Rattus norvegicus: one gene and its partner. The protein of the gene in region 1 interacts with the protein of each later gene in a biochemical or structural test. Links are inferred from orthologs where the notes say so. Each region holds a gene or a part of one and is shown on either strand. Other genes may lie near its edges.

Evidence for each region.
Region 2: the proteins of Vcpip1 (region 1) and Wac form a complex in vitro, tested with the Homo sapiens proteins (2 studies listed by BioGRID). The link is inferred for Rattus norvegicus from reciprocal best matches to the Homo sapiens genes VCPIP1 and WAC.

Annotation. Positions count from the first base shown.
Region 1 is NC_086023.1:14,341,047-14,344,337, reverse strand, and holds the end of Vcpip1 (deubiquitinating protein VCPIP1), read right to left. Parts: intron 1,567-3,291; coding exon 695-1,566; 3' UTR 614-694; downstream 1-613. UniProt on the Homo sapiens protein: Deubiquitinating enzyme involved in DNA repair and reassembly of the Golgi apparatus and the endoplasmic reticulum following mitosis. Necessary for VCP-mediated reassembly of Golgi stacks after mitosis.
Region 2 is NC_086035.1:60,616,703-60,620,451, reverse strand, and holds the start of Wac (WW domain-containing adapter protein with coiled-coil), read right to left. Parts: upstream 2,342-3,749; 5' UTR 2,134-2,341; coding exon 2,093-2,133; intron 2,008-2,092; exon of another isoform or gene 1,805-2,007; intron 1,703-1,804; coding exon 1,666-1,702; intron 110-1,665; coding exon of another isoform or gene 91-109; coding exon 1-90.

The DNA of each region.
Region 1 (3,291 bases):
GAACTTGACAAGGCCAAGATTAAAAAAATAATGGCAACATATTATCAACAAGAGCATAGAACTAGCCATACTGGCTCTGACCAACAGACTGAGTCACACCGACTTTATCATACTAGGGTAGATACTTCTCCCCAACTCGGCTCAATTCAGGAAAATGTGTCACTCTCAACTGTCAAAATATTTTTGCCAACAATAGCTGTCTCTATAACGTTATAACTTTTAAGTAGTCAAAGTATTTTATGTATTTTAAGATACATTTAGTTCAGGTAAACTTGAAATCAACATTCTCATGAAATGTAGGATGGCTACCTTGATGACAATGTGTACCAACTGTCATTTCCTCTCCAATTCTGGTCTCTGCAGAAACCAAATATTTAGCAAGAGAATTTTCATGTCTGAAAATTAAGACTTTCATGGAATTAAAAATGACAAAGAACTTTCAATGAACCACATACATGGAATAAACCCTTTCAAAAGATCTAAACTAATTTACAAGAATTCAGAGCCAGCCTGGGCAGCAGTATATTAAAAGCTATTGCCAATCACACACTTGCTATCATGCACTGAATAACAAGATATAATCTTTGAATTATATACGTACAAGATTTTTAATGACTACTCAAGTTATGTGGCCCAGCCAACAAATATTACATATTCACAATAAACATCTGCCTTTATTAGCCTCTAAATTAAATCAAGAGTGATCCATCGGCTCAGTTGTGTTAGTTGTCTCAGCATCTTGACTATCCATCTCTTCAGGTTCCTCCATGGAATTTTCTTTTTGTGCTTTTGACCTTGTGGCAAATGCTGCTCCCAGTACATCTGCTACACGACTATCAGTTGTTTCAGTATTCAAATTCTCAGTGCCACCAGTTAAAGAAAAAGATTCAGGCAAGCCAGTCTGAAGATTCCCAGGCCTCACAGAAGAACTCACAGCTTCTACTTTTCTTTGAGAAAGATCAGATGGTGTTTGCTCTGTACTTTGATCCCGCAAGTGCTTGTCCATTGATGCCTGAATAGAAGAAACCATTTCCTGCAATTTTTTTCGCTGGGCCTCAACCACATCGGGATCAATCTGCCTACCATCTCTCATTGTTACCACTCCAGGAGCTATTCGAATAAGCTCACTATTACTAGAAGCAGCTGTGAACACAGGAGGCTCTGTTTTAATGGAACTATTACTAAAATCTGTCCCTGTATTATGCTTTCTTACAGCCAGAGTTTCCCTAGCTCTGGGATCCATGTGCGGGTTACTGGATGCAGTTCCTAGAGAATGGCCCTTCCCCTGAAAGGCAGTTACATTGTGAAGTTGCTCAGACTTCTTTTTCACTACTCCACCACTACCTAGTTTTAATAACCCATGTGAAGGGCTTGATTCCCTACTTCTTGTAGTAGCCTCTGCTCGAACCTGACTTACAGCCTCTTTAACTAAATCTTCAACATCAGGACCAATGGGGAAATGTCCTGCGGCATCGACACACAACTCCAGTCTGTCTTCAGAAGCATTATAAACAAAGGTTTTGCCAGGTAGATGTGGAAAAGTACAATGTTTGCCATCAGCCATGCCTAAAGAAAAAGAAAGATATTTCACGTTAAGATCTTGTTTACAATGCTATCAAATGCATAGCAAAGATATTTATGTCCAAAATAACAAAATTTCTGAATGCAACTGACAAACAACTTTCAAAAAATGATTTGCAACTGGCCAGTGTTAATGCATGCCTTTAAATCCAGCACAGGAGGCAGATACAGGTAGATCCTCTGAGCTGGAGGTCAGCTCTGTCTACAGGGCTACACAGTGAAACTCCTGGTACCAAAAACCAAAAAAAGAAGAAAAAAGAAAGAAAAGATAGAAAGAAAAAGAATACATCAAAAAACCATTTGCTGGAAAATAATTGAGTCTACTACCAAAAAATAAAAAAAGCATCAGTAAGACCTTAAAGTACTTCTCCCAGGGAATGAGGAATATATATATAGCATTATCCTATAGCAAAGTTAGGAAAAGAAGTTTAACTGAAAAAAGAAAAAAAAGTTTAACTGAGTTACCAAAAAAAAAAAAAAAAACCCAACAACAACGAAACCTAACCATAAAGTAAATCAATAAGAAAATGTAATAAATAAAATTATTAAAATTAAAATTATAATTACAAACAAATATTAATTTCAATAGTAGAAAAAAATGTGAATTAATAAAACTCCAGGTAGAAATTTCTCCTGACATGTTTCTGGCATAGTCAACTGACAGAAAGACTGTAGCTGCTGCCAGAGTTGTGGCTCAGGAAAACGGAACTTCCATTGTGCACATCCTCAGGCCAAACCAAGCCACACAAATGAAAGAAAGAACATAGCAAGTCAGATCTAAGTGGCCATTTACTTATTTAAAAAAAGGCATGGTGGGGGCTGGGGATTTAGCTCAGTGGTAAAGCGCTTACCTAGGAAGCGCAAGGCCCTGGGTTCGGTCCCCAGCTCCGAAAAAAAGAACCAAAAAAAAAAAAAAAGGCATGGTGGTCATGCCTTGAATCCCAGCACTCAGCAGGAGGATCAGGAGTTCAAGGCCTGCCTGAAAAAACTGCCAGGAGACTCGATATTCCACCACTATTCCCTGCTTTCATTTATGTGGACATCCAGTTGTCTCAATACCATTTTAAAAATAGACTTTTATTTCAATTCTCAATTCTATACCTAACATTTAAAAAAATCTTCAGGCCCTGCATGGTAATAAAAGCACTAGCTGCACAAGCAGACCCGAGTTTGATTCCTAGATCCCACTGTGGAAGGAGAGCTTCCAACAGGTGTCCTGATACACATGTAGTGACTCATGCATGTTCACATGTGCACACAAAACAAGATCTTAAATAATGCTTACAACTAGAAAACAAAAATAAATTATAATAGCCTAAGCTTCTACTTAGAGAACCAGAAGGAAAAGAAACTTTAAATCCAAACCTTACTATTAAAGAAAAACTTGAAAATAAAAATACAACTTAATGAACTAAAGTCAGAATAGGTATTCAAAACAGAAGCTGTGAGGCTTCACTTTAAATTTTACACTTTCAATATTGATTATATTTTATTTTTAAACAACAACAAAAATACCCACAAGAGAATTAGAACCAAAAACCAATTAGCTTTCTGTCTTCCTTCATATCTCCTGTCTAAAGCAAGCAAAAGAGAAAAGCCTATGAATCCAAATGTTGTTTCTTTGAAAAATACCAATAAAACTGATAAACCAAATATTAGCCAGACCAGAAGCAAAACGGAGGGAGGGAGAATGCACAAATGACTAACATT
Region 2 (3,749 bases), on another chromosome or scaffold:
GTTTGGTGGTGAAGGATCTGCGGCGTCTCGCATCTTTTCATGTCTGTGATCACCACTGCTGGGGTGACTCTTTGACGAATACTTAAGTGTCTGTAAAACATCACCCCCCCAAAGAGAGAAAAATTGAAATTTAAACTCAATTCTCAATTTAAATTACGAGTTTTGGTATATCAAGTTCCCTTACACTAAAACTCAGAATTTCCATTTTCAGTACTTCCTTTATTCAGAGACGATGTAAATGATCAAAAGTTACTGTGCAACTCCTAGTAACAAATGCAACCATAAAACACACAAACACACACACAAAGAAAAAAACCTACTCGATCATGTAAACCTTTTTAAGCAGTATTTTGGCACACTGATCCACTAGAAAAAAAAACCTTCAAAACTAAAATCACTTTTTGAGAGCTTAAATTACTATCCATTTAATCTCTATAACTAATAAATACATCAAGCACATCTATAAATTAGCGTATTTTAATAACCATATTTTTTAAAAAACAAGTTTTTCCTCTTTTTTTGATTTAAATAAAGCACTATCCCTAATTTATAAGTTTTCAGGGATAAAATACTTTTAAAAGTAACAATATGTGCCAGAACAAACTGATTCATGAACAATGTTTCTAAGAAGGCATAATTCTAAATGCTCTCAAAATAATGGTTTTACACTGCAGGTGTCTGAAGATGAACACAATGTATCAGTTGGGAGGGAAGGAAGGAGGGGGAGAGGGAGGGAAGGAGAGAGGGAGGGAAAGAGAGAGAGAGGTCAATAATGTTTGACAGATGCAAATGTTCTGACATCCCAGAAGTTCCTGTACCAGGTTAGAAAACATGCTTGCACTCTTCCCAGGCTGGTGGCTCTCACGTGTAATCAAGCATTCAGAAGACTGACAGGAGTAAAATTGGACACAAGCCTGGACCACAGAACCTTGAGGGGGACACAGACCTGTTCCTATTCTTTTCTCTTTTAAAGGTGATTAGAGTATAAAGCATTTACTTCTGTTGTCTTCAGACAGTATCCTGAGGACACTTCAGCAAACCTTTAAAACTTTACATGCAAAACCTTCAGTGGAATAGACACCCAGAATCATTTCTATTAGAATGAAGTACTAAGTCACAGAAGGTTTAAATTAACTGAAGCAAAAACAAAACCTTTCCCTTGAAATAGAATAATCTGAGCTAAAAAAAAAAAAATGGTAAGAGTATCGTTACTGAGAGTAACTCAAGTTACTTCTCTCTGGCCGTTCATATACTTTTAAAACTTTCACATTTATCTTTCAGCTCCCCAATAGAATAGTAAGCAAATGTGCCTCCGAAGTCACCTATCACTACACCTCAGTGACTCCTTCACACTCAAACCTAGCCAGGTCTTCCTGCTTCCGAGTATTTTTTTTTTCCTTAAAAACAAACAAGCAAACAAAAACCAAAAGGCAAAACAAAACAAAACCCTGAACTTCCTCTAGTCAGCTCTCAAGATAAGTCCCTAGACACGTTTGGAGAATGCTAATAAAAGCCAATACGGAATTTTAAGCGGGCCAGTGGTGCTACTTTCAGATTTGTTGCACCAAAGGGCCTGTAGCGACTTTTGAAGCCTGCGCTCGAGTAGCAGTCCCTCCCTTCCCCCTCCAACCCCTTCAATCCCTCCACCCCATGATCGGCTGGTACCTGGAAAGGCTGAGAGTCCCCCCTCCGGTCGTGACAGCTGAAAAACAGTAAAGAAGGACCGTAGTGTGAGAGACATCCCGGGAAAGGAAGAAAGCGGGTCTCCCGTCCGCCCCTCCCCGCGGGCCGGCGACAAACGTACCGGCGCGGATCTGTGCGCTGCGGACGCTCCCGGGGCTCAAAGGCCCGGGTTCGGACTCGGGCCGCAGCCGCAGCAGCAGCCCGCTCGCCAAGCCCGCCAGGTCCCCAGGGCGCCCGCCTGTCCGCCCGGCCCGGCCCGGCCAGCCGCCTCCTCTGACTGATCCCGATCAGGGTTAACAACAAAAATGGCGGCGCGGCCAGCTCCCGATAAGGACGCCCGCCCGCCCGCCCGCCCGTCCGCCTGCCCGCCCTCCGCCGCGGCCCGGCCCGAAACGAAAAGACGATTTACCCATCACTGAGTCTCTGCTGTTTCCTCGCATACATTACCATCAATGCCCGGCTGTGTGTGTGTGTCGGGGAGGGGGAGAGCGGCCGCGAGGCGGGCGGGCGCGCGCGCGGGCGGCGGGCGGGCGGCGGGCAGCCCCGGCACCAGGACTCGGCGCACCCTCGGCGGCTCGCGGCACCTCCCCGTTACTGGCGCCGGCGGTCCCCGGTCATCTCCCTCCGTCACCACCGCTTAGGGTCAGCCGGGACAGAGGTGCCAACTACAGGGCGGCAGCGCGAGCCGGGGGGAGGGGGCGAGAGGCCGTGTTCCGGTCCCCGCGGAGAGCGAACGCCTCCAGCACCTTCCCTCCTCCTGCTCCGCCGCCGCCTGCCCTCCTCCCCCCCGCCGCCGAGTCCTTCTCGCCGCCTCCTGCCGCTGCTACAGCCGCCGCCGCTCCACCAACTACATCCGGGCAACTCGGACGCAGCCGCCTTCGGGAAAGCTCGGCAGTTTCCGCCACACCCCCTCCTCCCCACCCCGCGCAGCTCGAGAAAGCCGCCTTCGGCAAACCTCGGCTTGCTCCCGCCCTCTTCTTCCTCTGAGGCCTGGGCTCCTAGCGCCGCGACCCGTCAAGCCCTTCCGGTTGCTGCTTTTCCTCGCTCTCGAATCCGGCCACTCCCGTTCCACTTTAGGGGTAGTCGTGCTCGGGAGCCTGCGTGAGGCGGGCCCTGGGGCCTCCTGGCTGCGCGGGGTGGGAGCCGCCTTCGGGAGGAGAACCGTGGGGCGCGAGGGACGCCATCTCGGACTAAATGCGGAGCGGCGGCAGCTGCGCGTGCGCCCAGAGGCGCAACGGCGGCGGGGGCGGGGTGCCCTCCGCGAGGCGGCCGCGGCCCCCGCCCCTCGGGCTCCTTGCGGGGGTCGGAAAGCCCCTAATTGGGCGGCCCGGACGGTTTTCGCGGAGCCTCGACGGGCCGCGGCGGAAGTCGCCCTCAGTCGGCCGTGAGAACCCAGAGTCGCGGCCGGTGCTGTCACCGACTAGCGCGGAGCACACGCCTGTGGCTCAGGCCTGGGCACTGCAGACGTAAGTGCCCGGCCACGGGGAGCCACCGAGCCTTCCTACCGCGATTCCTGTGTCCCTCCTAGCTCTTCCTCTCCCTGGAAGGAAATTCTTTCGAGAGGACGGGTGTGAAGAAAGCGTGCGGTGTAGTGAGTGAGGTTGCTATAAATTATTTGCGATACACGGGGAGGAAACGTAACAGTGACAATCTTTTCTTGGTGGCAGCCCCGGAACATGGGCTTAACAGAAGGAATTGCAGTAAACAGTAAAGAGAGCAGGATAAAACACATAAGGAAAGTAAACAATACCCCATCAAGGTTAAAAAAGAAAAATCGAAAAGACTATTTGGTATCCAAAAAGTTACAACAGTGTTAATTCTAAATAGTGTAATAACGGAATAGACCTAGAAATAAAGAGATCTTGAAATCATAGCAGAAAAAAAATGTTTAAATGGCAGTGTCGGCTTGTCAGATTCACTTATCAAATGCTAAGAGATTGTTATGGCAACTAGTAAAACCCTGCTTAGTGCCCACAGAAGCTGTCAGTAACTAGGAAAAAAAGGTGGTCAGTGCCTGGAATGACAGGGGAGGGCTAGAGGGAGAGGTCATTGGTAACAGATTAAAC